Linked DNA regions of Drosophila melanogaster. The protein of the gene in region 1 interacts with the protein of each later gene in a pairwise test. Each region holds a gene or a part of one and is shown in the gene's direction. Other genes may lie near its edges. The genes, in order: Polr1D and Polr1C.

Region 1 (4,897 bases):
GAGATTTAGGTAACTTAGTTGAAGGATTCGCTATTCTAAGCCAACATCATAGACTTTAGGCTTATAATCCATGTAGCTTTAATAATCAATAATTAGAACTATTTTTCACACAATATGTGGAATATACAATACATATGTACATACATGTATCATGTATATGTACATACATATGACAACTAAATGATCTACGGTTTGTTATTATATCCTCCTAAAATATGGCTAAATTTCGATACCCGACACAACGAAGACCAAAAACAAGGAAACCCGAACAAAGGCGAAACAAGAGAAAAATGCATGTGAGGTTTTTGTTTGTTTTATGTCTCTCTGCCGGCGTCGCTGCTGCTGCGTCTGGGCAGCGATCACGCACACATAGAGAAGCACACAGAAGAAGGAGGGAGAGAGGAGGGGACTCAGCGCAGCTTCCTTTTGACTGGCTCTTCTTACAGAGGAAAAAATGATGTGGCTGTAAGTATCACTTGTTCCTATAGATCTTAAATGTGCAACCAAGTGATTGTGTGTTATTTAGTATTGGCATTGTTGTAAAATTTATTACATCACAAATTATCAAATAAATTTATTAATGCACTGATTAACAGTAATGGTACTAAACTCGAACCTATTAATCAAATATTGCACTTTTCGGCTTAAAAATTTGTCCTGTTGTGTAGTTACTTTACTTGGTTTTTATGTTGATTTTGGGAATTCTAAAAATGCTTGCAGCTTCATCCTTCTGCGTCTCTGTCTCCTTCTCTTCTCCTCGATTCCCCCCACCCCCTATTCGTGGCCCGCATCGAATGCAGCAGATGACAGGTTTTCGCTCTCCTCCGCCCCCTGCTTTGCTGTGCTCTCCGGCTTTATGGCGCTCCCCACCTCCTTCGTGACTCGCTGCACAGGATGTTGGAATATCACGTCGTCGTGTCCGTGTTCCCGTCTGTTCCTTGTTCTCGTGCTCTTCGTCTTCGTCTTGTGCCATTGCCACTTCACCTTTTTTGTCTGCATTCGAGCTAAAGGGGCTCCCCTTTAGCCCCTTCTTCACCTCAGCTACTCCTTCCACTTCCTTTCGCTCCAAAACTGTCTGTGTATTTTATTTTATTTCGTTTCGTTTGGCTTTCGATGTCTGCAGCATCCTTGGAACTTTCTGGCACAGTGGGCCCAACAAAAATATTGCATGCACCATTGATAAATATAGATAAATGATCGAAAGAACACACCATTGCTATGTTTACTGACAGAATTATTTTCAAAAACTCGTTAAGCATTTATTAATTTACCAATAGAATCGGTAAAAACCTTAGTACCATTATACATAGAATTTTTGTTTTAAAATTCAATTTATAACCTGTCCTTGTCAAGTCAGCACACTGTGTCTACATCGTGGACAGGTATTTTGTACCTCAAGTGGATTATTTGCAATATTCATGGCACAAGGTGGAATATACACCACCCTTGGGAGGACTTAAAATTTCGGGCTCCCCCTCTTTTATAATTTATTTTCACGTGCGCAGCTATACACAAAAAATACTTTTGTATTTTGAATTAATATAATTTTAAAATGGTCTACCGTACTGCATCCTTTTTCTATGCGTTTATTACTTTCTACTAGTTTTCGTTTATTATACGTTGAAAAGATATATTACACACGAGGTGGTGAATTGTTTACGAATCAGCTTCGCGAGTAAATGCTAGGGAAGTTATTTTCTCTATGTACAGGCCATAGATCGCTGTTGCTATGTACATATGTATGTATGAATGTATATATTAGGTTGTGTTTACATACATATTTACATGGGCCCTCTGGATCGTATTCCCAGAACCATTTCGCACTTCTCTTTTTCGTATTCTCCCTTTTTGCCACGATCGTGACGGTTATATGCAGTTCCTTTGTTGTAACCACTACAAAGCCAAAATAATTGCAAACTCAAAAGAAACCCATAAAAGCAAGAATAGAGTTAGCCCAGGAGAGAGAGCAGCCACTTTTTTCGGCCAGGAGAGAGCAGCTGCCTCGCTCTCACTCACACACGAGCCACAAAAACGCCGGCTCTCAATACATACATATATACATACTTAAACTGCAGGCCATGTAAAAACAAAAACAACAAGGCAAAAGGGCGCCCAGCATAATGGGGGAAACGAAATGGAAGAGGAACGCAGCCTAGACTAAATTGCAACAACTGCAAATTGGGGGGAACGCATGGCGCCAAACGAAACGTGAGACAGACTCGCGCGCACTGCCATACATACACGAAAAGTGATTATTACAACACAAGCGCTGCGGCGCGTGGGCGCGAGGAGGGGGAACGCATGAGATAACGGAACATGCTGCCGCATTAGTCACCACCAAAGCACAACAGATGTGTGTACATGTGTGTGTGTCAGCTACCACCGAACAAATGAGTGCAAAGGAGTTAGCAGGATGCCGAGAAGGAAGCGGAGAGAGGAATGGCAAGGGGCAGGGGAGAAGAGCATAGCAACCAGTGGAAACAAAATACAGTGAGTATTGGCTAAGAGCTATTGGGTATCTTTGCAATAAAGTGTTGCATACCCTAGGGAGAAAAATATTTATAAAAATCTTATTGGATTAAAAAACCATACATATTAACGAAATTAAATAAAAAATATTTTTAAAATTTTACTGGAAACTACGTAAGATCATATTTGATTGTATTCAACCTTTTGGTTATATGCATATAAATCGTAAAGTACATGTTAAGAAACCGAATACTGTTATTCTCGTAATTGGTAATTGAAGATGCAGACTGCGAACGTGAATGCAAAGTGCCAATTAGGAAATTTAACAATTTGGAAATAAAAGTCTACATTATTGGCAATAACTAACGAAAAGCAGAACAGGAGGCACAGTAACGAACAAGATAAAGCTTTAGTTGAGCCTCTGAACTGGTATTTTTTAGCCATCACTTCCGCCTTCGCGGGCAACAGCGTCGACGGCACGGCGGCAGAGGCAGCTGCCTGTTTGCAGCTGTGTGCGTGCACAAAAATAAAAGGGCGCATGAATTTGCATAATTTTCGGAACCAGATGGGGGGCGTGGCCGTCAACAAAATTGAAATGACAACTCGAGCTTTTCAATACCGCTTATTTATGTATGCGATGTTATTAATAAGCACATGGTGGGCATTAAACAAACCTGTATTGCAGTCAATTCCTGATGGAAACGGCGAAAAAGCATGTAAAATGAATTGCCGATTCGTCGTTGTATGCGTTTTTCCCGAGTGTCGGTGTTTTTGGAGCAACTTCACGTTGAATGCATTGCGCAAATAATTATGTTTGCCGTTGCAGTTTTTTTGTTTTTGTTTTCTTCGCTCCGCTTCGCCTCTCTGCTTCTTTCCTTGCCGCCTTTTCTGCTGATGCTTTCAAACAAACCAACACTCACACACGTATGCAGAAGGCGGCTTGCAATTATGCTAATGCGGCTGTTTGCGACACTTTTTCTTCTTTTTTTTGGCCGACACCGCACAAAACTGATTTCGCAGTTGGCCCAATAAAATTGGCCACAGAACAAAGCGAATTAAGAAGCAACACACACAATTCAATGCTCTGTCTGAAAACCGCGTCCGTGTCAGAACGCGTCAAGAACTGGAGCTGGTGGAGACATCGGCGCGCTATCGATACATCGATGACGTTACCACGGTATTTATGCATTTACTTAGAAGTAACTCATTTGATTTTCAAGAATTAAAGTCAATGTTGGTATGACACTTGGCACAAGCAAACAGTAGGAATGTTTCAGAAGACATACTCTTTTATACATACACAACTTAAATTTAACAGTTTTTTCGGGAAGATATGGCTAAGTTTTACTTAAATTCAAAATGGGATAGGCATCTCTAGTTTTTAGCTACATTGCATTCCAATTGGAATAAGCCGTCCTTAGCTACTTAAATCGATATGTTTCGATGACTCTAACATCGATTGCCGAGGCATGTGCCCTGCACGTTTTTTGTAAACAAACGAACGAGTATTTGAACAAACTGAAAATGGGAGCATTGGCAGAGGTAGACAATGCATTAAATATGCAATGTGAGTAATTAATTCTTAAATACTTTCCCCAGCTGGCTGGTGATGAGAAAAACGGCGAAGGATCTCGTACTTTTGTGTTCACCAACGAGGGCCACACGCTGGGAAATGCGCTGAAAACGATCATAGCCCGCTACCCGGAGGTGGATTTCTGTGGCTACACGATTCCGCATCCCACGGAGCAGAAGCTGCACTTCCGCATTCAATCCCGTCGAGACAGAGCCATAGATATACTTAAACGGGGACTGGAGGATCTGGAGGGTCTGTGTGATCATACAATCGTTACGTTCGAAAAGGAGATGGCCGAGTTTAATGCAATGAAAGTGGAAAATTAGATATATATGTATAAAGAATACTTAAAACTAAACCACGCTGCGCGCCTTCTTGGGATCGTAGTTGGGCTTGCGTAGATGATGATAGTTTGGCAGGACCTTGCGCAGGAAGTCGATCTGCAGGGTCTGCGATCCCTGCTTGTCGATGGCCTCGCGCTGCAGGCCCTGCTCTCCATAAACAATCGTGTTTTCGGGCAGGCGTTGACTACCATGGATCTTTATTCCAGCTCCCACCACACAACCGCTGGAAACAGTGACACCGGGGCCCACATAGCACTTGCTCTCGAAGACGTTCTTATCGCCAATCTTGGCCGCTTCCACTTGGCAGCCGACTTCAAAGACATTGTGAGTGCCAATGCTCAGGATATTGTTGACATCCCAAACGGCGCCCGGCTCCAAGCGGTGAGCTACGGTGGCATATTCCTCTATGATGCAATTCTCCCCAATTATTATGGGACCTGCGTCGGCGATAACGGTGGCACTCGGATGAACCACACAGCCCGACGAGAAGGTGATGTCACCGCGCAGGCTG
Region 2 (3,688 bases), about 14 Mb from region 1:
GTCCCAGATCTTAGCGGTCATATCACCGGCGCCGGTGATGAGCTTACGGCTCTCCCAGTCCACATCCAGGCACCAGACCGCACCCTGGTGACCATCGTAGGTGCCCAAACGTTCTCCGTTCAGCGAGTACCACACATTGGGCTTCTGATCCTTGGAGCAGGAGAAGAGCAGGTCGCCCTCGCGGTTGTACTTGATTTGCGTTATGGAACGCTCGTGGCCCTGAAGCATCAACGGACGCTATAAAAGACAGAATAATACGAATTTTTAGCAACAATTTAGGCCGCTTTTAAGGTTATGTTTGGTCCGGAATTTCACACGACTTTCACACTTTGCAAATAGTTGTAATTTCGGGTAAATTCTAAAGAAACCCATCCGGAATAATGCAAACTGTGTAGTCATTGACCAGGCACGCACCATTTTGTATTATATTGTTATTTGTTGCGAGAAAACGAATATTTTTGCAACAACATCCACGCAGCACTACACGCCAAAAGAGCAGTGTGACCGTGGCCTAGTCAAAATCTCACTTCGATATACCAGGGGGATCTAAAAAATACCGTTAATCAAGTTTATTTTGAACAACCAGAAATTTTTACAATCTAGAACTTAAGGTATAGCCAATATAAACGAAAATTTGGATTTAAAACTTGATATACATCAAGTAAAAACCATATTTTATGCCATACATTAAGTAAATACAACGAAACAACATTTGCCTAGCTTAGCCAGCCTAGCTGAACCATCCCTTTTTGTTCATTGAATTCCACTTGGCTATGTTCACCAAAATGGATGCCACACACTGGTCCTTGTCCCGATTTTGGCCGTAGTAATCGACAAACTCGCCATCGGGATTGACCAGGTACATGATGATGGTGTGATCCACAATATAATCGTTGTCCTCGTCCCGCGGTCCAGCGCTGAAATAAACCCTGAAGGCCTTGCACACTTTGCGGATTTGTTCGACGGTTCCCGTGAGTCCCAGCAGTTTGGGGGAGAACTCTTTTACGTATTTGGCCACCACCTCTTTGGAGTCACGTTCTGGGTCAACGGTGATAAAGATGGGCTGCACTGCTGGCGTTTGCGGGGACTTTTCTGTGAAGGTTTGAGAAACATGGTTTTTTTTGGGTTTGGAAGAAATAGTCAGGCTCTACTTACCAACTTCATCGACGACGGCGGCCATCTTCTCTAGCTCATCGGGACAAATATCCGGGCAGTGGGTGAAGCCAAAATAGATGAGCAGCCACTTGCCTAAGAAGTCCTCCGATTTGCGAACAGCTCCCTGCGAATCAACTAATTCCCAACTGCCGCCGATGGCTGCTTTTCCCAATTGCCGCTGACGCTCCTTCATTCTCGCCTCATCCTTCTCGCTCTTCACGTACAGCATGAAGCCCACTCCTCCGGCTCCAAGGGCTCCAATGACGGCCAGACTTCTCCAAGAGATCGGACCCTTGCCTTTAGTGGAATCTGCGGGAGCGGCATAATGACGAATTGCGGGCTGTTGTGCCCAGCGACGACAGCTGCCCACTAAGCGTTGCAGGGAGCGGGACATCTTACGCCCGGTTTCAGAAATTTGAAGGCTTTACGTAAATCTTCTGGAGAAATAAAAATATCGCCGGTGTCCTGCTGCTTCTTCCTATTCAGCCAGTCACGGCGAAACAGCATTTATTTAGTACATAAAGTATATTTATTTAGTATATTAGTTAGTTTGTTAGTTAGTTTGGTATATTTTGGTATTAGAAGGCGGTCTTATTGATTCCAACACGTGCGGTTCAATTTTGTTAAATTATTTAATAAAAACACCGGGGCAAATGGCAAGCAAAAATCGCAAGGAGCCGCTTCTGTACATGGAGGAGTATCGGGTGAAGCAGGATCCGCAGGACTATGGACTGGCGGACGATGTATTTTCCGTTCAGGCTTTCAAGGAAAAGCTGCACATCAAAATCGTCAGGTAAATCTCAATAGAAATTAGAATCTTACGAGTCGATTAACAATTGGTGTTCACTTCTAGAAACGACGAAGACGGCCTGGAGTTCGATCTGATTGGCGTGTATCCCGCCATTGCAAATGCCTTCCGTCGCCTGATGCTCAGCGATGTGCCCAGCATGGCCATCGAAAAGGTGTACATATACAACAACACCTCGATCATCCAGGACGAGGTACTTGCCCATCGAATGGGTCTACTTCCGTTGCGGGCTGATCCCCGTCTATTCGCATACCGCACCGAGGAAAGCACTGAGGCGGGGACCGAGCAGGATACGCTTGAATTTGAGCTGAAGGTGAAGTGCTCGCGGCGACGGGATGCTGGAAAAGATCAGTCCAACTTCGATGACATTTACAAAAACCACAAAGTGTACTCGGGTCATCTGAAGTGGCTGCCCAAAGGAAAGCAGGCGCAGATATACAGCGAGAGTGCTGTGAACTGCATTCACGATGACATACTGATTGCCCAATTGCGTCCGGGTCACGAGTTGGATCTGCGCCTGGTGGCGGTTAAGGGACTTGGACGGGATCACGCGAAATTCTCGCCGGTGGCCACGGCCACCTACCGACTGCTGCCCATGATTAAGCTGAACCGCGAGGTGACCGGTAAGGATGCGTACCTATTACAGAACTGTTTCTCACCAGGAGTAATTGGCATTGACGAGAATGAAACTGCCTATGTAAAGGATGCACGCTACGACACGTGCAGCCGAAATGTGTATCGCTATCCCCAGCTAAACGACGCTGTGACTTTGGCCCGTATCCGAGATCACTACATTTTCTCCGTGGAATCAGTCGGCGCACTGAAGCCCGATGTCATCTTCCTGGAGGCGGTCAAGGTATTGAAGAGAAAGTGCCGGGCGCTAATTGACGAAATTGAGGCAGAATAGTTATTTATTTAGTTGTTAAAGAAATTATATTATGTACATAAGACAGCTTGATATAAATTGTAAGCCTACGAAGATCGTGCTTGCTCTCTCTTGCGCTTGAGCACCTTCAGGCGAAATTCCGTTAGGACCACCTGCAGACGCTCCTGGCACATTAGTGCGTCCTCCAGGTCCATGTTGTTCAGCTGCAGAGCCAAACTCTTGCCAAACAAGTCAAATTCACTAATAATGGTGTCTTCCGTCATCGCGTCGACTTGGTATTCGTTATTAATCTCCGTATCTTCCGGCTTGAGCTGTATCATCTCTTCCTCGTAGACCACCTCTTGGTCCTGGAGATCTGTTTCATTCTGTTGTACTTCGAGGAACTCGTTCTCAACCTCAAATTCTTGCTCTTGATAGGGCTGATCTGTTCTGAGTAAATCATCCAGGATTGAGTCGTTCGAGGCGATTTCGTCCTCCTCCGTCTCCTCCTCCATGCTCTCCACCTTCGTGTCGTTCTTGATCTTTGGCTGCATTTTGCTCCTTGGCTTTTGCCTTGGATAGGTCTTTGATTTGGCTTTGGGCTTTGCTTTGGGTGAAATTATGGAGGCCTCCAAGTCTGGGTCATGCTCATCTTTGACAAGTTCACCCTTAATCATATTCTGTAGGTATAAATACGGAGTTGTTAATTTTATGTAAATTAGTAATGAGATGAGAATTTTTTTTTTGGAGCGATAAGTTGTGCATCGCATAGAGGGAGCTACTGGTTTGGTTAACCATTGCACAAGAAGTAGTCAATGGAATAGTTAACGAAAAGTATGGCGAAAACTCACACAAAAATC

The links.
Region 2: the proteins of Polr1D (region 1) and Polr1C interact in a two-hybrid assay, tested with the Drosophila melanogaster proteins (2 studies listed by BioGRID).

Annotation. Positions count from the first base shown.
Region 1 is NT_033779.5:19,132,523-19,137,419, reverse strand, and holds Polr1D (RNA polymerase I and III subunit D), read left to right. Parts: upstream 1-2,186; 5' UTR 2,187-2,439; coding exon 2,440-2,490; intron 2,491-3,143; exon of another isoform or gene 3,144-3,598; coding exon 3,599-3,646; intron 3,647-3,936; exon of another isoform or gene 3,937-3,993; coding exon of another isoform or gene 3,994-4,011; intron 4,012-4,068; coding exon 4,069-4,368; 3' UTR 4,369-4,395; downstream 4,396-4,897. Other genes in the region: DCTN6-p27 (dynactin 6, p27 subunit), read right to left, coding at 4,396-4,897. UniProt on the Drosophila melanogaster protein: DNA-dependent RNA polymerase catalyzes the transcription of DNA into RNA using the four ribonucleoside triphosphates as substrates.
Region 2 is NT_033779.5:4,967,277-4,970,964, forward strand, and holds Polr1C (RNA polymerase I and III subunit C), read left to right. Parts: upstream 1-1,727; 5' UTR 1,728-1,808; coding exon 1,809-1,948; intron 1,949-2,008; coding exon 2,009-2,870; 3' UTR 2,871-2,935; downstream 2,936-3,688. Other genes in the region: eIF3i (eukaryotic translation initiation factor 3 subunit i), read right to left, coding at 1-237, 415-417; Scox (synthesis of cytochrome c oxidase), read right to left, coding at 731-1,092, 1,156-1,549; l(2)05714 (lethal (2) 05714), read right to left, coding at 2,936-3,508.